3 linked regions of the Arabidopsis thaliana genome follow. The protein of the gene in region 3 purifies or fractionates together with the protein of the main gene of each other region. This does not show direct contact. Each region holds a gene or a part of one and is shown on either strand. Other genes may lie near its edges.

The links.
Region 1: the proteins of ALDH10A8 (region 3) and ALAAT2 fractionate together in Arabidopsis thaliana (co-fractionation; one large-scale study listed by BioGRID). This does not show direct contact.
Region 2: the proteins of ALDH10A8 (region 3) and SDH1-1 fractionate together in Arabidopsis thaliana (co-fractionation; one large-scale study listed by BioGRID). This does not show direct contact.

What each region holds. Positions count from the first base shown.
Region 1 is NC_003070.9:27,231,585-27,238,212, forward strand, and holds ALAAT2 (alanine aminotransferase 2), read left to right. Parts: upstream 1-1,890; 5' UTR 1,891-2,052; coding exon 2,053-2,265; intron 2,266-2,528; coding exon 2,529-2,579; intron 2,580-2,682; coding exon 2,683-2,733; intron 2,734-2,850; coding exon 2,851-2,916; intron 2,917-2,994; coding exon 2,995-3,056; intron 3,057-3,145; coding exon 3,146-3,224; intron 3,225-3,314; coding exon 3,315-3,458; intron 3,459-3,513; coding exon 3,514-3,624; intron 3,625-3,694; coding exon 3,695-3,832; intron 3,833-3,905; coding exon 3,906-4,101; intron 4,102-4,180; coding exon 4,181-4,335; intron 4,336-4,420; coding exon 4,421-4,495; intron 4,496-4,579; coding exon 4,580-4,783; intron 4,784-4,870; coding exon 4,871-4,987; 3' UTR 4,988-5,205; downstream 5,206-6,628. Other genes in the region: PUM23 (pumilio 23), read right to left, coding at 1-170, 283-646, 743-996; AT1G72340 (NagB/RpiA/CoA transferase-like superfamily protein), read left to right, coding at 5,233-5,718, 5,800-5,952, 6,068-6,209, 6,380-6,621.
Region 2 is NC_003076.8:26,651,653-26,659,119, reverse strand, and holds SDH1-1 (succinate dehydrogenase 1-1), read right to left. Parts: upstream 5,514-7,467; 5' UTR 5,345-5,513; coding exon 5,237-5,344; intron 5,057-5,236; coding exon 4,889-5,056; intron 4,795-4,888; coding exon 4,707-4,794; intron 4,577-4,706; coding exon 4,430-4,576; intron 4,336-4,429; coding exon 4,195-4,335; intron 4,008-4,194; coding exon 3,922-4,007; intron 3,847-3,921; coding exon 3,754-3,846; intron 3,659-3,753; coding exon 3,595-3,658; intron 3,502-3,594; coding exon 3,358-3,501; intron 3,235-3,357; coding exon 3,047-3,234; intron 2,939-3,046; coding exon 2,764-2,938; intron 2,682-2,763; coding exon 2,511-2,681; intron 2,413-2,510; coding exon 2,343-2,412; intron 2,249-2,342; coding exon 2,128-2,248; intron 2,037-2,127; coding exon 1,896-2,036; 3' UTR 1,424-1,895; downstream 1-1,423. Other genes in the region: CHR1 (chromatin remodeling 1), read right to left, coding at 6,251-6,475, 6,567-6,671, 6,762-6,860, 6,946-7,065, 7,169-7,288, 7,363-7,457. UniProt on the Arabidopsis thaliana protein: Flavoprotein (FP) subunit of succinate dehydrogenase (SDH) that is involved in complex II of the mitochondrial electron transport chain and is responsible for transferring electrons from succinate to ubiquinone (coenzyme Q).
Region 3 is NC_003070.9:28,137,503-28,145,467, reverse strand, and holds ALDH10A8 (aldehyde dehydrogenase 10A8), read left to right. Parts: upstream 1-2,630; 5' UTR 2,631-2,894; coding exon 2,895-3,003; intron 3,004-3,203; coding exon 3,204-3,346; intron 3,347-3,449; coding exon 3,450-3,530; intron 3,531-3,616; coding exon 3,617-3,765; intron 3,766-3,864; coding exon 3,865-3,957; intron 3,958-4,040; coding exon 4,041-4,164; intron 4,165-4,292; coding exon 4,293-4,358; intron 4,359-4,454; coding exon 4,455-4,521; intron 4,522-4,697; coding exon 4,698-4,774; intron 4,775-4,998; coding exon 4,999-5,112; intron 5,113-5,394; coding exon 5,395-5,472; intron 5,473-5,560; coding exon 5,561-5,712; intron 5,713-5,835; coding exon 5,836-5,896; intron 5,897-5,999; coding exon 6,000-6,106; intron 6,107-6,208; coding exon 6,209-6,293; 3' UTR 6,294-6,471; downstream 6,472-7,965. Other genes in the region: ORA47 (Integrase-type DNA-binding superfamily protein), read right to left, coding at 642-1,229; AT1G74929 (uncharacterized protein), read left to right, coding at 1,370-1,471; AT1G74910 (ADP-glucose pyrophosphorylase family protein), read left to right, coding at 7,012-7,072, 7,281-7,378, 7,463-7,563, 7,676-7,754, 7,857-7,917. UniProt on the Arabidopsis thaliana protein: Dehydrogenase that catalyzes the oxidation of several aminoaldehydes. Metabolizes and detoxifies aldehyde products of polyamine degradation to non-toxic amino acids.

The sequences.
Region 1 (6,628 bases), 910 kb from region 3:
TCTAGCTGAGACATCTTCAGATTCAAACGTTTGGCCAGAGCTTTTGATGATTTTGCGCCATAAAGCTCAGGGGAATCTAAAGAGACTCCTTTGCAAAGACAAAGAAGCCTTCGTAGTACATGCGAACCATAGCAGTTGCACATCATATCAAGAGGATTATCCACAATCACCTGACCAGGGGAAATATTTCACCATCAAAATTGAGGTCAATTACTAGACTAGAAGCAATAATCTGGATACCTTAATATGATTGTCAAAGCCAGTAAAAATTGTATAAAGTACCTTGCATATAGAATGCAAAGCCTCCTCAATAACAGAATAGGCGTCTGGATTTTCTAGATGTGTGGCCAAGGATTTGAGAGCAGACTCTGCGACATGAGAACCAGATCTATCCATTGCAATGGCTGGGAACACACTAGCAGAATTTCGTATGAAACTGCAGAGTTGGTCAAGTTCACATCCCTCAAGTAGAGTTTGCAAGACATGACTTATGATATAGTCTGTAGCAATTTCATACTCCCTCCCTCTTGTTTCTTCAAGGGCATTTCCACATATTACTGAACGTTCCTCTAATTCAACTTCATTACTATCAAAGAGATTGGCAATCTCAGAGAAATACTTTGAAGTCTCTGGATCAATCTCTTTCCTGAAAAAGATACACCCAAATCACTACCACTTCTCACAACAACAAAATTTCGACTATAAATTAGAGCAAAGGCCCTTGGTTAAAAATCTCCTTTACCTGACAAATTGATTCTGATGTTCGAATTCGGAGTGTTTCTTTGATGCTGGCTTTACATTGGGGGCACCACCGGATTGGTTCTTCTTGCTGCTATCTACATCAAATCCACGGTTACCCTTATGGTCCTTCCTACGCATTCCCTTATTCCTTTCACTGTGATTGTTACTAGACTTTCCTCGTTCACCCATCAAGCTATCTTCCTCAATGGTCCTGTGCCTCCTAGATGGCAATGATTTAGAACCAACAGAAACCATGAAAATTCCTAGCCCCAACTATGTTAAACCCTACAAAATTTACACACAAAAAAACTCAGCTTCGAAGAACTATTAGTCCCAAATTACACAATATAACAAAAAAGGGAAAGGTTCAATTTTTTCTCCAAATTTACAGACCCCAAAAATTAGGGTTTCTACCTCTACTTCAAAACGATACCATAACTGGGTTGAATAACCTAAAACATAACAATAAATTCCGAGTCCCAATTCTAAGACTTTACACTAATCCATGTGAAGCTTGTACAAAAGAACAGAAACAATAAGGTGTATCACAAACCTTTGAGGATGCAAAAACACAGTTGACGTTAGAGGAGAAACGAACAAGCGTGAGCTCAGACTAAGAACGCGGCGCAGAGACAAAACGACGTCGTCTCCGAAACTCTTGGTATACGTTGGATCAAAATCTTCGATGTTTTGACGTTGTACAAATTTTCTAATTCCTAGGGTTTTATTCTCGTCCAACCTAATACGATATCGTTTTGTTGACGTGGATATAAACAAATAATGGGCTTTAAATCACGATTTTACCGACCTTTTTAGGGCCCAATTATGTAGCCCAAAAAAAACCTCATCGTTAGCAATGTGCTGCTACATGTTGTTGTGATTTATTTAAATTTAGAGATTTCTAAAAATTTATAACTTTCAAATTAGCTGTAGGTTTTATAAGTATCTATTTATCCCCAAATTAGATTACGACTGTGATTGGATTATTCAATTTTGGTCCTTTTGGATAATTAAGTCAACGGAAGATAGACTTCAGACATCTTTTTTTGATAAAAGACATGTCTTTTTTTGGGATTAGTCGTGTGTTTAACAGATAAATCAACAAAATTAGCCGCCTAAAAAAAACCCCTACAAATATCTTCATCAATTAGATTTTCGAAAAGAAAAAACGAAAAAGCAATTTCTGAGCGTGGAGGACAAGGCAAAATTCGGTGTGCAAGGCACTGGATATTGGGACCCTTGTTTCCTCGTGAGAGAATTTTCAATCCTAGGGCTTAAAGAGCACGTTCCTAGTATAAAGCTGATTCACAGATGCGGAGATTCTTGATTAACCAAGCTAAAGGTCTCGTCGACCATTCTCGTCGTCAACATCACCACAAAAGTCCAAGCTTTCTCTCTCCTCAACCTCGTCCCCTTGCTTCTTCTCCTCCTGCTCTGTCTCGTTTCTTCTCTTCTACTTCGGAGATGTCTGCTTCTGATTCCACTTCTTCTCTTCCCGTTACTCTTGACTCCATCAATCCCAAGGTCGGTTTCTAATTCTCTAGCTGGTTTATTGCGTTTTTGAATTGTGGGTTTCAGGGTTGATCTGGATTTGTTTCTAATTTAGTAAAAAAGTTTCAATTTTTTACTGTGGTTGTCTGATTTAACGCCAAAGGTTTATCCTTTGCTTCTCGTTGTGATTCCCAACGATGAAATCGACAAGCTTTGCATAACTTCTTTGTACTTTATATTACAGAGAAGTTGGTTTTATTGTTAACTAAGAGTTTTTTTTCTTTTCCGGGGAACAGGTTCTGAAATGTGAGTATGCTGTTCGAGGAGAAATTGTCAACATTGCTCAGGTCAGAGATGCATGTGCTTTGTCTTGTAAAACCAAGAACAAAATCTGTAAAATTGTTTTTAATGCTAATTGATTTTTGTTTGCTTTTTGCTTCCATCTTACAGAAGTTACAAGAAGACTTGAAGACTAATAAGGATGCTTATCCCTTTGATGAGGTAAAATCTCTTTCTTTATCGGCAGTTTTGACGGATTTATGATTAGTTTAGTGTTGATGTTACCTGTTCTCAAACTCTTTGTGCAAGGAACTTAGAATTCTTCATTACTTTTGGCAGATAATCTATTGCAACATTGGGAATCCTCAATCTCTTGGTCAGCTGCCTATAAAGTTCTTCCGTGAGGTAAGTGAATGTTTTTGGTACTAGTTTGGTTGTCATATCAGCCACAGAGATATAACGTCTATCATCTATATGCCTCAGGTTCTCGCATTGTGTGACCACGCAAGTCTTTTGGATGAGTCTGAAACCCATGGTTTGTTCAGGTGAGGTTTTCCTTGCTATATTTCAGCTTTAGGACATGTATGCTCACGGTTTAAGATTGCTTAACATTTGATTTCTACTCTGCTATCAGTACCGATTCAATTGACCGAGCATGGAGGATTTTGGACCATATTCCCGGAAGAGCAACTGGGGCTTACAGTCATAGCCAGGTTTGTTATTAGAGTCTAGTTAAAAGTCCTAAACCCTTTCTTGAGATGGTTCTTATGTTGCTGAATGTTTCATTTTTTGTTCTGCCTCAGGGTATCAAGGGTTTACGTGATGTAATTGCAGCTGGAATCGAAGCACGTGATGGTTTCCCTGCTGATCCAAATGATATTTTCTTGACTGATGGTGCAAGTCCAGCGGTAACAATCAAAACGAAAACGTTATCTCATAGAGTTAGAGTAAGTTCTTTTAAAGGATTCATGCTAAGTGTTTTTGGTGTTTTTTACTCTATAGGTTCACATGATGATGCAACTTCTCTTGAGCTCAGAGAAAGATGGTATTCTTTCCCCGATTCCTCAGTATCCATTGTACTCGGCTTCAATTGCCCTTCATGGTGGATCTTTGGTATGTTCATATAATCATCATGGAGTAATGTTGTTTTTTGGTACAAGTTTTTGAAATTTGTACTTCTTAGGTTCCGTACTATCTTGATGAAGCAACAGGATGGGGACTGGAAATATCTGACCTTAAGAAGCAACTAGAGGAAGCTAGGTCCAAGGGCATCTCTGTAAGGGCCTTGGTTGTCATAAACCCCGGTAACCCAACTGGGCAGGTACAAACAGATTTTCAAGACTAGCCTAACAAAATGTAACATTCTTCTAATCTTGCGTTCTTATTCTGGTTAGGTTCTTGCGGAAGAAAACCAGCGTGACATTGTTAATTTCTGCAAGCAAGAGGGTTTGGTTCTTTTAGCTGATGAAGTCTACCAAGAAAATGTTTACGTCCCTGACAAAAAGTTCCATTCTTTCAAGAAAGTGGCTCGGTCTTTGGGCTATGGAGAAAAAGATATCTCGTTAGTCTCGTTCCAATCAGTCTCCAAAGGTAAAAGAACAACTTTTACTGTCCAATGCTTGTCATCTAAAAAATGGGGTTTTTGTTTTTAATATTCTTCTGTTGATAGGATATTATGGAGAATGTGGAAAAAGAGGAGGTTACATGGAGGTTACTGGATTCACTTCTGATGTAAGAGAACAGATATACAAAATGGCTTCTGTGAATCTTTGTTCTAACATCTCTGGTCAAATTCTTGCTAGCCTTGTCATGAGCCCACCCAAGGTAACACCCTAGTTCTCTCTAATCGGTTTTCGCTAAGTTCTTGCAACAGATTATGACTAAAAAGTCTAATATTGTATTTGATCAGCCTGGTGATGACTCATATGACTCATACATGGCAGAAAGAGATGGAATTCTCTCATCCATGGCTAAACGTGCAAAGGTTAGTCGAAGATTACAATACCCTCTAACGACATTTTTCAGTCTCTTTGTATATAATGTCACAAGCTTGAAAATGAACTTGCAGACTTTGGAAGACGCTCTCAACAGTTTAGAAGGTGTTACATGTAACAGAGCCGAAGGAGCAATGTATCTCTTCCCGCGAATTAACCTTCCTCAAAAGGCTATCGAAGCTGCTGAGGCTGAAAAAACTGCACCAGATGCGTTCTACTGCAAACGCCTTCTCAATGCTACTGGTGTAGTTGTAGTCCCTGGTTCTGGCTTTGGACAGGTAAAATATAACCAAATCTTCATAACTTTAAATGTCTTACAAAAGGATCGAACTTGAATAATGGGTTTTGGATTCATTGTGGTTTAGGTTCCTGGAACATGGCACTTTAGATGCACAATACTTCCACAAGAAGACAAGATTCCAGCGATAGTGAATCGTCTGACAGAGTTCCACAAGAGCTTCATGGACGAGTTCCGCAACTAAAAGGACCTGACCATGAAGATGAACTTAAAGACCCTTTTGAAGAAAAGTGTGATCAGTTTGAGTTATTAAAAAAAAGAAAACTTGTGTTTTGAATTTGATCAGGCAATTGTGATCAGCTAATTTAATTTTAGAATATTTTGTACTTCCATTCCATGGCATGTCATATGAAGATATGAAAATTAGTAAATTTATTGGGCTTATAAATGGGCCTTATATTATTAATGGGCCTTATATTTATTTTTCATATGATATTTCTGGAGAAAGCGACAGTATATTATCTTCAATTTTTCCATTTTGAAGAATTTTCTCAAGAAAAAAAAAAATCAATGTGGAGAAGATCACCGTCGTTTATTCTCGACGAGCGACGAAGCTCGAATTCACCTCCAATGGCGGATACAACACGAGGTCCTTTTCAAAACCCTGATTCCATCTCCGCTTATTACCAAACTCGCGCGGCGCATCACGGTGTCATTACAAGCGACTGGCTAGCCCAAGCTCAAGCCGCCGTTGGCGGCGTCTCAGGCGATGCCCAGCATGACTTATCCGTAACTGATCTCGGGAACGAGAAGTCGTTTAATGTAATTGAAGAGTTCAATAACTGGAGAAAACAACCGGATCTGGCTGAAGCCGTCGCGGCTATACGAGCTTTGGCTGCTGTTATTCGTGCGAGCGAAGCGAGCACCATGATGGAGCTTGAAATTGAGCTCAAAAAGGCTTCTGATACACTCAAGGTGAGAATTCATTTTTCACTTTCTGTTCATTCTTCGATTTTGTGGGCTTTGTTGATTTAAGAAATGTTCAAATTTTGGCAGTCGTGGGACAAAACGTCGATCTCTTTGACAGCTGGATGCGATTTGTTTATCAGATACGTTACGAGAACGTCTGCTTTGGAATATGAAGATTTCAATTCAGCTAAGTCTCGTCTTCTTGAACGTGCTGAGAAATTTGGGGAAATATCTTGCAAGGTACTTCCTTTTATGGCTTCTGGCTCATATTTAGTAGTTTTTGTACATATATCAATGAAGTAGATCAATTAGTATTTGATAGAAGAGGGTTTATAAAGGTTTGGTTATTGCGCAGGCTCGTAGGATTATCGCAATGCTTAGTCAAGATTTTATATTCGATGGTTGTACCATATTGGTTCATGGACTCTCTAGAGTTGTTCTGGAAATACTTAAGACTGCTGCACAAAACAACAAGCTCTTTCGAGTTCTCTGCACAGGTTCGCTTAAACAACAAGCTTAGATTGGAACTTGAGTTGTATCCGCTTAATGTTTCTTGGTTTCTCTGAGACATTTTTGTTGCATAGTCTTGACCTTATAAACCCTGTCTCTTTATGATTTTGTTGTATTAGTAGCCTCTCGCTAACTTTTTTTGGTGAAAAAATGATAGAGGGGAGGCCGGATGGAACAGGAGTTCTGTTATCGAGTGAGCTATCGAAGCTCGATATCCCAGTGAAACTACTGCTTGATTCAGCTGTGGCGTATAGTATGGACGAGGTAGACATGGTGTTTGTCGGGGCGGATGGAGTTGTAGAAAGTGGCGGTATTATCAACATGATGGGAACATACCAAATCGCACTTGTGGCACACAGCATGAACAAACCGGTCTATGTTGCTGCTGAGAGTTACAAGGTAATTG
Region 2 (7,467 bases), on a different chromosome or scaffold from region 3:
TTCCAAAGCTTTTAAAAAAAATAATCTGGAGTGTTTTTAATAGTAACACATACAGTAAGGGAAATATAATCTGACAGCTTTTCATCTTTTCACATATATAATTAGAATTTTAGAACAATTGAATCCTATAGAATTTAGTTTTTCTAATGTGTGCAACAACCATACTAAGTGCAACGATCACCAAAAATTAAAATGTGAGTTTGTGTTGGATATTTAAAGTATTTTGGTTGAACAGAAAATAAAGAAGGATATAGTTAAAGTATTTTCTTTTTATAAATGATAATTTGCAAATGTGTTTTTTTATATAAAAAAAAGTGAGTGGGAAAGAAAAATATGCAAAAAACAACGTTTTAATCTCTCTGGCTTTTCGACTAACCTCTCTTTTGTGTTGCACTGCACCTTTGTCTCCACGTCAAAATGTCACTCACTTCACTTTGGTGACCCACTTCTTACACATCTCTCTTTCAGTTTTTACATAAAACATACAACAGTCTCTGAATATACAGCACTAGGTGCATAGTGTTTTTCAGATTTCTTATGAACTATATTAACATAAAAGCAGTAGATAAGGTAATTTCTCTACAATTTGGTTAAATTCATTGTGTAAAAAGTAAATAACAACAAGAATTAGTTTTTATTCTAATGAGTTTTTTTTTCCGGGTAAAACTCCATATATTCTAATAAGTTTTGTATGTCTATATATATATATATGAATCTTCCCCCATTAAGCATAAGTTCCGTAACCGGTCAAAGTAAATTTGAAAAAGATTTTTTACTTTAAGATAAGGATAAGAAAAAGAAAGGTGTATGAGTGAGTAAAAACCCTACTTTATTGACAAGGTTAGATGAAGATTAGACAATTTAATTACGACATTCCTCGATTTCTCTTTCATACGTTGCGTTTTAGGCATTGCTAAGTCAGCTTTGTGTCGAAATTTTTTAATTAACTATAATTGATTGGGTTTTGGAATTGTTAAATGTGAAATGAGCAGGTTAATAGATAAGGTTGGTTGGTGAAGTCGACTGGTTTAGTTTAATTTGTGTGGAGCTTTCTAATTTTGTTATCGATTGGTTCTAATTAGGAATAACACACACGCATGCGGAAAAATATAATATCTTATGGTTGGTTAGTGTAATATTGAACTACATAATTAGTCGAATTGGTGTGGGGCTAGTTTCTAAGCTTCAAGGTCGTAATCATAGATCATTTTTGTATTTACATTCACCGACTGTATCTTCAATTTGCATATGTGGAAGAGCACTTTTTTAGTATACGCCATAAGCAAGTGGACGACTTTTAAAGAGAGATACATTATAAAGGTCACATTTTCTACGGCCAACATTATCATCTAGCGACGACGATCGGACCAATCTAAAACTCGCTCAGATACGCAAATATTGAACAAAAATATTTGAAATTACCCCCACTTGTAGGCCTAAAAAATGCCTTGACTGATCCGAATTTACCTAAAATAAAATTTTGTTCAGACAAGAAAAAACAACCCAAATTTTGTTTTTCTAATGGTCACAACTCAAAATTGTATCTCGTGTTCTGATACCTATTATCACCGCAAAATAACTTTCACGGTCGATACGGAATTCGAACATTTTGATTTAAAAAAAAAAAATGAATATCACCAAGGCGTAATTAACAGGTAACAAAGAATGTAACAATTTCAGGAACTGATAAAGAAAATAAGAATTGTAGTGTTTTTTCCTCTTTCTATCAATTTATTTTCATCGTTTCTGGTGTAAAACGTAAACCCAGTTTCAGAACAGTCCTTTGTGCTCCATCAGCTCATAACTCCGTCTTCTTCTCCTAATTCCCTTTTTTTGGGGGGTTCCTGATTATTATTATTATTCCGATAACAGATAAAATAAAAACATGGGCTCGATCAATAGACACGAGCTTTGGGAGGGAAAGTGTCGATCTCATCGTCGAGAGTGTCCATGTGAACAGGCCTATAATCCAATCTCACTTTCTCATCTTCCCAATATCCCAATGTATGCTTCATCCATTCTCCATCCTCTCTTTTCTGCATACACACGCATTCATTTATACTACGTTATGGTTTCATCATTATGGGATAATCAATCATTGTGGAAAAGCTGAGCAAGGAATCAAACCGTGAAGTCTTCCCGAGCATGTGCTCCTCTGCTTTCCTTTCGTGCTTCTGCTGAATGCATTGTTATGGATGCGTTTATCAAAAGGTTCTCCAGTTCCAATGTCTCTATCAAATCCGAGTTCCTGCATTTTATTCATAGTTTCCAAGATTAACAAGAGTTCACCAGATTTTATAACAGTGTGATAATCAATCCCATGTGAATAGAGTCTGTCTTACCATATCATACTCCGATCTTTCACCTGGACGTCCCCAAAACTTTCCCAGGCCTTGTCAATCAACTGACAACCTGTGATTGTTTCACGGTAATAAATTGTAAAGAAAATGGATTGCAGTTGCAGGTGAGAGAATTAAATAAATGCAGAACAAGTTCAGATCACTGTTTACCTTCTTCCAATGTTTCTTGCGTGCGGAACACAGCTGCGTTGTTCTGCATAATCCTCTGCATGTTCAATCTGATAGTTGAAGTAGGTAGAGACCCGTTTGAGTTTCTCAACCTGTCCAGCCATGCAATAGTCTTCTCACCCGCATCCTTCTCAAGAGGTTTCTGTTTCTCCCCTGCACCAATCGAATAAAGAAAAAAAAATGATCAGAAGAGACTTATCTTTTATAATAACAGCAGTCCTCAAAAAAGACTAACCTGGTTTGCTTATCTCTGCAACCCTATTTGCACAAGCACGACCAAATACGACAATGTCGAGCAGTGAATTTGCACCAAGCCTGTTGGCACCATGAACAGATGCACAAGCTGCCTCCCCAGCAGCCATTAGCCCAGGAATCACTGCATCTGGATCATCGCCTTTGATGGTAACTACCTGCAGGATTTAACAGAATAACTTTCAGAGCTAGGCTTCTAATCCATCTCATGCTTAACTCCACACAAATTTCAGCAAAGTTTCTTAAATGACTTTTCTTATTCTTACCTCGCCATGGTAGTTTGTTGGGATACCACCCATGTTATAATGAACCGTGGGTAAGACAGGAATTGGCTCTTTGGTAACATCAACACCAGCAAAGATGGCAGCGGTCTCAGAGATTCCAGGAAGCCTTTCTTTTAGAACTTCTGGAGGAAGATGATTCAGATGGAGATAGATATGATCCTTATGCGGTCCTGGAAGATATCAGCAAAAAGTTGTCCAGGGTGAGAATCAAACTAGACTGATCACAATATCAAAGCATATCATGTAATGAGAGTTCACTCTGAAAATAAGAAGTAGTTTTCAGTGGAACATACCTACACCACGACCTTCCCTGATTTCCATAGTCATGGATCTGGAGACAACATCTCTTGATGCAAGATCCTTGGCTGTAGGAGCATATCGTTCCATAAAACGTTCACCTTCACTGTTTCTAAGGATACCACCTTCACCTCGAGATCCTGCAATTGTTTAAACACCAAATTTTTTTTGTGAAAAACACATTAAATTTTATATTGCAAACAAATTCGAGTATGTGAGAACATGATACTAACCTTCGGTGATGAGACATCCGGCCCCATATATACCAGTTGGATGGAATTGAACAAACTCCAAGTCCTGCATAAATTTATTAAATATAAGATTATTAGCATACAAATTACAGACAAATACATCATACACAATTTTGAATAAAAACGAAACAGGTGGAAAACCTGCAGTGGAAGACCGGCCCGTGCAACCATTGCATTTCCATCCCCTGTGCATGTATGTGCTGAGGTTGCAGAGAAGTATGCTCTGCCGTACCCCTGGAAAAACATTAGCCACCAGGTGAGCATATTTTCGTTATTGCAAAAAATCGTATCATATAGAAACTAGCTCACCCCAGTTGCCAAAATTGTTTGAGAAGAACGGAAACGATGCAATGTTCCATCTTCCATGTTTAGTGCAATTACACCCTGGCAACTGCCTGCATATCAGATAGAAATGTTGCATTAACTTCAAAGTCGCTTTCCCTTAAATCGATCAATAAGATCCATCCAACCACCTCATAAAATCAACTACTAGTTCTGAATTCTACTGACATCACCCCTCCACCAAATTGGCAAATACTAATAGAAGCGACAGTAAAAGGAGAATAACTTTGATTAACTTACCATCACTAGCCATGAGCAGATCCAAGGCGAAGTATTCAACAAAGAACTGTGTGTTATGCTTCATAGCTTGTCCATAGAGAGTATGCAACAGAGCATGACCAGTCCTATCCGCAGCACAAGCACAACGATAGGCCTGACCACCTGAAGCAGAAAAATAGGAAAGCCAATATGAGAGACCTATTAAAAAACAAAGTAAATAGGAATATCAATAATAGCAAGACATCAGACAACTCACCTTTTCCAAAGTCAAGACTCTGACCACCAAATGCACGCTGGTAAATTTTCCCTTCTTCAGTACGAGAGAAAGGCAGCCCATAATTCTCAAGTTCAATGACTGCTTTTGGTGCCTCTCTACACATGTACTGGATAGCATCTTGATCACCTACACAAAGAAATAAACAAGAAAGAACTCACTAATCAATTCACTAAACCACATCACATAAGAGCTACAAAAAGCAAAAAAAAACATTTCACTAAAAAAAGAGAAGAAACAAAAGGAAGACTAAGATTACCTAGCCAGTCACTTCCTTTGACAGTGTCATACATGTGCCATCTCCAGTCATCTTCGGACATATTTCCCAGTGCAGCATTAATACCACCCTTGACAGTTTTTTCGACAACATAATCTCAATCAAAAAGAAACAAAACTATATTTAAAAATCGACAGTATAAGGAGATTAGTAACGAAAAATACCTGAGCAGCAACAGTATGTGACCTTGTGGGGAAAAGCTTAGTAATGCAAGCGGTGTTAAAGCCATGCTCCGATAACCCAATCGCCGCCCTAAGACCAGCACCACCAGCTCCCACCACAACCGCATCATAAGTGTGATCCACTATCGTATAAGAGGATCTCGTATCGGTCTACTCAACAGATAACCAAAATAAACACCACAAAACAAATCGATCAAAATTTTCCCCGATTTTCAACAATTTGCTCGACTACTAACGCATTTGAATGGCGGATAAAACTATGATTCGTGAATTACATAAGATCGAATTAGAAAATAAACAAAACGGAAGGAGAAGGAAGAGAGATCATACAGAACCAGTGGAGAAGAATCTGGAAAAGCGAGATCCAGAGACGCCATCAAAGAGTGAAGAGGTCTTTGAAGCAGGAGCTCGAAAGCCACGAGAGACGCAGCGCCACATCGTCTTGTTGTTGATTCCACAAGCGAGTCAGTTTCTTCGATGCAAATCTCCGTAGAAGAAATGAGAGAATACGAATTTCGCGTAGAGGAGGTTTCCTTTAAGAGGAAGACGCGAACGGAGTGAGAGATAGCCACCGAGGCGCTTAAAATAAGAAAAATGGAAAACGATGATGACTTCTCTTAAATTCCCTTAATTACCCCTATTCTCACTCCATATTTACTCCTAAACCGGGTTTGCTTTACTAACTAAAACCCCCTAAGATTAGCTCTTGTAATGGTCAAATTGTCAATAATACCCCACTGCATACTTTTACCCAAATGTTTGGTGCCTGCCCCATTCATTCTTGTCGGCGTCTCGTGTTCATGTTTTAGTCCATTAGATGCAAAACCGATAAAACTAAATATTTACTATTTACAAGAATAGACATCAACAAATCCGATGTCGTCCAGCGGTTAGGATATCTGGCTTTCACCCAGGAGACCCGGGTTCGATTCCCGGCATCGGAGCTTTTTGCTTCTTTTTTAAACCCTACTCAAGTTTTTAATATTCTGTGAAACTATTGAGCCTAATCATATAAGTTAACAAATCCCAAATCCAAAACATAAGATCCCATAAGTTCGTGAGAAATAGCTCAATGCCAAAATTGCAGACTACAAAGACTATAAACGTACACAAGTCATAATATTACCGCAACAGCAAAATCAGAGGGCCAATTGTTTTCATCACATTGAGAGCTAATCACCATTAACTGTCATGTTTTCAGGGTTTTAAGTGAGTTCTTTAACTTACAAAAACTTCCGAGCCCTCTAATAATTAAATCCTCCCAGCCAAAAGTAACCGATCATGTTCCGGAAAAAAAAAAAAAAAACACAGAAGTGGTTTCAAGGCCTGGCTTATTAATGTGTCCTAACTGTTCAGGGAAGACAGCATTCCTCCCGAACTAGGCAGGACCACTTCCCAACCTGGACCCTTCACTGGAAAAGCTTCAGCAGCTTGTGTCTCTCCCGGTGCAGTAATTGTCAGGTCACTCCGGTCAAGTAACCTGTCAAGATCCGCATCGCTTATATCGGTTTGTATCAACTTATCTTCAGCAGTTTCATCTTCCTTAAGCAACGCCAGTATGTCCTCTTCCTGTGTGTTAGTTTGGTTCAAGCTGTCAATAGGAGATTTTGTTGATAATAAGTGTATCTAAAAAGGATTGAGCTTTAAGAGAAGTTAAAACCTCTAAAGGTGTTGAAGACTTGGCACGTTCTTGATGAAACTGCCCTTGGCCAATAACCACATGTTCCAGCTTGAGCTTACTGTACGCTCGTTTCAGAACCCGGGTCTGAGCAAATGTCATAAACCAATCTCATGAGGCAACAATCTCAATGGTTTGAAGTTAAGATTGATTGATATGAACAACAAAGAGTTTTACCTCTATCGACTGAGCCGTGGAAAGCCTATAAACATGAACAGGTTTCGTCTGCCCGATTCTGTGGCATCTGTCCATGGCTTGCAAGTCCATTTGAGGGTTCTGGAGATCAGACAAAACACAGTTGGAGACAACACGAAAGAGAAAGATTTTCCTTCAAAGAAAATAAATTAATTGATTTGATTACCCAGTCGCTGTCATAGAGGATGCATGTATCAGCAGCAGTAAGATTGATTCCGAGTCCTCCAGCTCTGGTACTCAGGAGAAATATACTACAGCTGCTCTTCTCATCACTGAAATCTTTAATCTGTTTCAAGGCAAAGAGAGAGAGAGAGAGACCTTATGGTTATAATATTTGGTCAGAATATTGCTTAAAAGCAACGCAAAAGCAGCATAAGCACAGGTGAAACCTGTCTTCTCCTTTCATCCAGCTTCACACTGCCATCGATTCTGCAAACCTCAAACCCCTTCTCACTGAAGTAGTAATCCATAATGTCCAAAAGTTTCGTCCATTGGGAGAAGATAAGGACCTGGTCATCAGCAAATGGATCAGAGAAGTTCTCAAAGGGAAATGAGCTACGAGCCATGGGTTTGTGAAACATACTTTGTGATTATTGGCAAATAACCGAACAAGTAATCTCTCCAATAAGCGGAATTTACCACACTGTCCAACAATCTCTTCAACAGGAGGGTAGAGATCTGTCACGAA
Region 3 (7,965 bases):
AGGTGGCAATTTGAAAATGATGGGAATCTTATCCACCCCAATTTTTTTTCATTTTTTTTTCCGATTACTGATATTTTTCTCGATTCAATTCTATTTTCTTTGAAGACCGTTTCTCTTCCTTGATTTCCAATCCTAATTTCTTGACTTATTGATGTTGAACTTTGTAATTGTCATCAATACTATCGAAATGCTTGGAAGATATTTTATCATATTTCATTTATAGAAACCCCCTTGTGTTTTAATTAGGCCAAGGGAACCTTCGTACTTCACTTAAGTTAACTACTTTATCACGAAAATCAATTTTTAAAACAATGGGCTGAGAAAAATGTTTAATGACTAAGGCCCAACTATAAGATTTTGGGCCGGATAATATAATCTTCCAAACTCATCGTGTTCGAAGGATATTCTTCAGAATAATGAAATGGACTTTTAACATTTATTACTAGAATCTTATCCGATTTTTCTTTACAACAAAAAAATGAAAAAATATAGGTGTGAATATGATCCACATCAAATTCGGATCCGAAACGAAAGAAATTCCCGGGTCATTGGAGCTCCGTGTTACAAAAAATCTCCAGATTTCTCCATGACTCCAAGGAAAATCTCACAGTTCGCTCTAAAAAAATATTATGTTTGGGAATTCAAAAATCCCAAAGAATCAAAGATTCATCTAATAAACTCTCTCCTCCGTAATCTTCGATGGGTAAAATCTCTGTAAATCGATCACCACCGGAGAAGCCAGAGAAGTCGTCGGAGAAGGAATCAAACCCGAAATTCATCGGAAGCAAATCCAAAAACGAAAAATCATAATCCACCGTCGATGTAGCAACAGATGCAGATGTAGAAGGAGACTCTGGTCGGATCTCGGATCCGGGTACTAAACCCGATTCTTCTTCTCCCTTGACAATGTCTTGGAATGTGTTAGCGAATCTAGCAGCAGCTTCCTGAATCTCCGGAGGCGTCAACGACTTTTCTACGGAGATCGACGGTGGATTATTAGGGAAATTGAAATTAGCATCGCCGCCGCGGAGACAAAATTGAGCGGCGTCGAAAGCACGCGCCGCCTTCTCGGGAGTGTCGTAAGAGCCTAACCAAATTCGTTCTCTGCTGTGTGGAAGTCTGATCTCCGATACCCATTTTCCCCATTTCCTCTTCCTCACTCCTTTGTACTTTGACTGCATCGCCGTGTTTCTCTTCTTCTCCTCTTCCTTCATCGCTTGCTTCACCATTGGATAAAAACTCCGGTTCGGTTCGATTCGGTTTGGTTGAATTGGATTCTGTTTCCGGTTCTTAACTCGAGTTTCAGTTGTGTAGGTTAATTCTGTTATATCTGGTTGATTTCGAATTTGCGGCTGTGTGGGATTTATATATGAAGAAGTGGAAGTGGCAAGTGAGGAAGAAGATCAACGCTGACTGGCGCGTGAAGATGGGACACGTGGCGGATTGTATTGAGTGGCTAACGCGGGAATAGTGAGACTGTTCTGCTTTGTCGTGTTCCTTGTTTTCCACGTGATTTAATTCAACTCTCTTTTGTCTTTTTGCATTATATCTGAATGATTATCTCTATTTGTTTAGGCACGTTTGTTTTAAATACTGAGATTTTCGTCGCGACTTCTGTTTCTAGAATTTTAAGACTACTTCTTCTTTTGTATTTTAGAGATTATTGGGCGTTGAATCGGACACACATAAGTATTGTTATTATAAATGTTTGCATCAATGGTTAGGCTCATGACATTTTTGATGCGGACACTAATTAAGAAGTTAAGAAGCAAGTATATGACTCACTGTTTTGAAGAAAGAAGCGAGTCGTCTGTTGATCATAACTTGAGATTCGTAGAAGAAGAAAGGTGGAACCAAAACAGAAGTTTCATACATGAACACTATTTAGAGCAGTAGCTATCTCTTTTGTTTACGCATTCTGTTTTCCAAATAAGTTAAAAAAAGTTACCTTCTTTTAATCCCACTTCTCAAGATGGAGCAATAATTGAATTGAAGGCCAGTGGCCACTACTAACTTTCATTATACTTTGCTCGAGATAGCCACTACTAATGAACTTGTGACACAACCTTGTGTAAGAACAGTCTCCCTTAGATTCAATAATCAATTTCCATTTTGGGAAAATCGTTTGTTACTATTATTTATTTGTTCAGAACCCACGGAACAGATTGCCCCCAACCCTCCGAGTTACCAACTTTATAGGTTTTCGCTGAGCAACAACATCCCATTAGAACGGTGAAGCTCATCATCATGAGCATGAAGGAGAAGATTCTTGTTGTTGTGGTCGCCATTATCGATCAAAAGATCACAAATTAAGAAAATCGAAGAAGGAAGATTGAGGAATATAAGTCGATGAGTTATTTGAGTATTGATGAGGAAAACAAAGACTATACGAACTCTCTATTTATAAGGTTTACGGAACCTAATCCTTGCCGGTTTAGGATTTTACTCAACGTTTGGAATATATTACATGTTTATTTCCTTTTTCAATTTTGATTCACCTCTTATCTTGCAAAAAAACAAAACAAAAAAGTGACGTTTAAAGATCTCTAATCCTTTTCTAATTAACTTTGTGTATGATTTTTAGTTCTTCTAATTTCTATATATTTTTGTTCATAATATGAAAATTTGATCTCTGTTTTAATTATTTTGGAACTAAATACACATTTTTAATTAGATTAGTAAAAGAGTTATAATTAAAAAAAGTTGATCTGGTTGGTGTCAGCAGAACAAGGAAAAAAGAGAGGCTTTTTCGTTTTGATCCTCCTACTCTTCTTCATTAGTGAAAGCTACTTATAAAGTCCAAATCTTGAAGTGCGTGCACGGTGCACCACGAATCCACGATCCAGTGAGCAGCAGCAACTCCATCTCCGGAGCTCTAGATTCAGATAAGAACAATGGCGATTCCGATGCCTACTCGCCAGCTATTCATCGACGGCGAATGGAGAGAACCCATCTTGAAGAAGCGAATCCCGATCGTTAATCCAGCTACTGAAGAGGTCATTGGTAAGCGCTTTTCTCAAAATCCGCCACAGCTCGATTAGATCCAAGTAAAAATGTATACTTTTGTTTACTTCTTAGTTCGATGTGGAGATATTACTTGCTCCTAACTCTATTCATGACTATCTTTTGCTGTATCGACTACTTTCTTTCCATGAATTTTAGTTGAAGTTGATCCAAGGATTTGTATGTGTTGGATGAGATAGGTGATATTCCTGCAGCTACAACGGAGGACGTGGATGTTGCTGTCAACGCTGCTCGAAGAGCATTATCAAGGAATAAAGGGAAAGATTGGGCCAAAGCACCTGGAGCTGTTCGTGCTAAGTATTTACGTGCTATTGCTGCTAAGGTATTCATTTTATGTTTGTGATTGTGATGCTGTGTTGACAAAGCCTCAGTTTTGTTTGGGCTTTTGTGTAATCAGTTTTAGTCTTCTGTTATCTGATGTGTAGGTAAATGAAAGAAAGACGGATCTGGCAAAGCTCGAGGCGCTTGATTGTGGTAAACCATTGGATGAAGCAGTATGGGATATGGTACTGTTGCTTCCATTTTGTTTTTGTGAAATGTAGGGTTTTCTTTGTAGGTTTGATCTTAAATGTGTTTGTTTGATCTTTTGCAGGATGATGTTGCTGGATGTTTTGAATTTTATGCTGACCTTGCTGAAGGATTAGATGCTAAGCAGAAAGCACCAGTCTCGCTTCCCATGGAGAGTTTTAAGAGTTATGTTCTGAAGCAACCTCTCGGAGTTGTGGGACTTATTACACCATGGTAGCTTTCCTTTTGTGGTTAACTTGTTTGAGTCTATATGGCACCTATTCTATTTTATATGACCAGAAACTGACTCATGGATCTGGTTTGATGTTGAAGGAATTACCCCCTTTTGATGGCTGTTTGGAAGGTGGCTCCTTCCCTTGCTGCAGGGTGCACTGCGATTCTCAAGCCATCAGAGCTGGCATCAGTGTACGTAATTGTGTATAATCTGTTTTGCTCTTATGCTTCTGTATTGGTCCTTATTTGAACACGTCTCATGGTTCTAAATTCAGTACTTGTTTGGAGCTTGCTGATATTTGTCGAGAAGTTGGTCTTCCTCCTGGGGTCCTCAATGTTTTGACTGGTTTCGGTTCGGAAGCTGGTGCTCCTTTGGCATCACATCCTGGCGTGGACAAGGTATTGGTCTTTGAGAATACAGTAAACATAAGTCCCAACAAAATTAACTCTAAAGGCTATGATTAAACATTCAGTTTAACGTCTGCGTTTCTTAAACGCTTCAATGCTAAGTTATGATTTCGTTGCAGATTGCATTTACTGGAAGTTTCGCCACAGGAAGTAAGGTCATGACAGCCGCTGCTCAGTTGGTGAAGGTAATTCCAATTTTTGAACTTTCTGCTGTATATTCCTTCTCCTCCTTTTGTTTCATCACCAATGTCAATGACACATTACTCATGGCATTGTTGCAGCCTGTTTCTATGGAACTTGGTGGGAAGAGCCCTCTCATTGTGTTTGATGACGTTGATCTTGATAAAGGTGAATGTCACAAAAAGTAGTTTAGTGGATTTGGAGTTTTTTTATAATAACTTCTTCTTGTGCTATATTCAAGATAGTACTAATGCTTTTGTTGCTTTGAGACGAGTAGACATGACTTAAATTTGCTTAATCTTAAAATTAAACTCTTTGTATGTTTTGACGCCGGCAAATGATAGCTGCTGAATGGGCTCTTTTCGGTTGCTTCTGGACAAATGGTCAAATCTGCAGTGCAACTTCCCGCCTTCTTGTTCACGTAAGTCCCAATCTTCTACTTGCTTTAAGGTTTTACCTGATCTTCCCAATATGACATGCGAATATTTATTACTGGAGAAGTGAATGTTCCAAGTCATACGGGAAGATGTTTCCATTAAGGTCAATGACAATGACATTTATTTCAGATCAAACCTTCTGGTGGATATGCCAACAGGGATACAATTGCTGACTCTCTTGTCTAAATTTTTTTATTTTATATCTTAGGAAAGCATCGCATCTGAGTTCATAGAGAAGCTTGTAAAATGGAGCAAGAACATTAAAATTTCAGACCCCATGGAAGAAGGATGCAGGCTTGGTCCTGTAGTTAGCAAAGGACAGGTAAAATCCCAGTGATCGTTTTTTCTGTCTTCATATTATTTGTCAATTTCCCATCAGGTTGCAATACAACAACCAGGACTAAAAAGGAAAAGAGAATTGAGTTCTGTAGTATAGTGATTAACTTTTGTCCCTCTAATTCTGAACCGTTTAGCTTTTAGAGCATCAATCAAATCACATCTAGCATATGATATTTCATCACGCTTATCATGTTCTTACTTGGTAGGTGTGCTTTTCTTCTATGATCATATAATCTGATTGAGCTGACAAATGTAAATATTACAGTACGAGAAGATATTGAAGTTTATCTCAACGGCCAAGAGTGAAGGAGCAACGATCTTGCATGGTGGTTCCCGACCTGAGGTATTACATCTCCCTCCCTTACCTATCCTTGATGCAGTTTCTTCCAGACTATGATGATGACCTTTTATATCATATCTATATTTCACAGCATCTGGAAAAGGGCTTCTTCATTGAACCAACCATCATAACTGATGTAACCACTTCAATGCAAATATGGAGAGAAGAAGTTTTCGGGCCTGTTCTTTGCGTGAAAACATTTGCCAGTGAGGACGAGGCAATTGAGCTAGCAAATGACTCTCAGTAAGTTAACGTTTCTCCAGAAAGTGAAATCTGATCAAATCCCATCCGCTGACACTGGTGTTTAAATCAAATTTATCATTTAAGATCTTATGTGGCTGAAAATTATTCATTGATTAATGACAGTTACGGACTAGGAGCTGCAGTGATATCTAATGACACAGAAAGATGTGACCGTATAAGCGAGGTTAGTACCGGTTTCTTGAACCATTCAGATTTGTTTTTAATGCCTAGCAAGTGAAATAACAATACCATCAAATAACACAAACAATTGGTGTCTACTTTGTTAGGCCTTTGAAGCTGGGATTGTCTGGATTAACTGCTCGCAGCCTTGCTTTACCCAAGCCCCATGGGGTGGTGTCAAACGCAGTGGGTTTGGACGAGAACTTGGAGAATGGTACATTTCTTTTTCTATCTCGAATCTTGTTTTTAAAAGACTATATCTTGATGGCTTGTACTGAACAAATCTTGGTTATGGCTGGTTTCTTGCGTGCTTCAGGGGACTTGATAACTACTTGAGTGTGAAGCAAGTGACTCTCTACACTTCAAACGATCCCTGGGGATGGTACAAATCTCCCAACTAAGTAATGAATACATTGTCATGGAAATGGAAACCAAACCAAATGCTGTCTGTTCAAATCTTTGTGCTTTTATTATCAGTCTGTCTAGTTCGGTCCTGAAACTCTTTTGTAAAACCTGTTGAATTTATAATGAATAAAAGATGCTTTGCTGATAATTATTGGTTGTTCTATAAAGGCCAGTATTGAGGCACCATTTTAGGCTCTGGTGCAGCAGTATCAAGAACATGAACCATTTTATGTCACCTTCAAGTCACATCAAAGTTAAAACTCACATGGCAATCAATTCCAAATCATAACTTTTTTTTTTACTATAATTGCTTGAAATAAACATTTTATGAGATCTGAAGATTTGTGGATTTTTTTTCCATTTTTTAAATAGTAAAATGTTTGGCAACCAAATCTGAAAAAGAGGTAAAGACGAGAGGTCTCGCGCTTATCCTTAAAGGACTGTGGTGAATGGTGAGTGTGACTTGGAGGGACCCCATCACCGCAACAATACAGCTTCTTAGATCTCGATAACCACAACTAACCTGTCACAGTTTCGATTAGATCTTCTCAAAAACTTCACCTTTTTTTGTTTTTCCAGTTTCTCAGAGGAGATCTTCCTTCAAAGCTCAAATCCTTTTGTCTGAATTGTGATACTGCTGTCCCCATTTTTCTGCAAGTTGGGAAATTTCTGTCAAAGTTTTGTGGGTCTGTTAAAAAGATCTGAGCTTTGAACATGGGGAGCTCAATGGAGGAGAAAGTGGTGGCTGTGATCATGGTCGGTGGTCCAACCAAAGGTAACCGCTAAATATGTTTGCTTTTTTTCTTTCTTTCTTTCTGATTCCTCCTCAAAAGCAAATGACTGTGAAATCTCGATTGATCAAATCTAATTCCGTTAGATTTTGATATCCAATGCGTTTCTCTCTTGTTTGGTTATTAGTTTCGTGTATCCGAATGATTATGGTTCTGATTCTGTGTAAATATTGGTTATTGAGTGATGCACAGGCACTCGATTTCGGCCATTGTCGCTGAATATTCCAAAGCCTCTGTTTCCTATTGCGGGACAACCAATGGTGCATCATCCAATTTCAGCTTGTAAAAGAGTAATATTCTTCACTCATGATTTCAACAATTCAGATCACTGGAGAGACTGAGAGATGATGATACCAATCCCTTATTGTCTGCAGATTCCAAATTTAGCTCAAATATATCTTGTTGGCTTCTATGAGGAAAGGGAATTTGCACTTTATGTTTCAGCCATCTCTAATGAACTTAAAGTTCCTGTTAGGTTAGTGAATCTCTCCTCTTTTTGCGTTAGCTTCAGCTCAAGTATCAGTGGCTCATTCGTGTAGCTCTGATCTTTCTTCTCTGTTTTTTTTTTTTGGGATTCTGCAAATTAGATATCTGCGAGAAGACAAACCACATGGTTCAGCTGGTGGGCTGTATCACTTTAGAAATCTTATTATGGAAGATAGTCCGGTTAGTCTCCAAGGATCTTACTATATAGAATCATTCTTCTTTTGTGTTTTATGGACTAAATGCTTCTTCTCACATCTGAGTTCCTATATCTACTTCTTGCAGTCTCATATCTTCCTGCTTAACTGTGATGTTTGCTGCAGTTTCCCCTTGCCCAAAATGCTCGGTATATTCTTTTTCATTAATCCAAACCTTGTGAGGTCTCATCTTATGG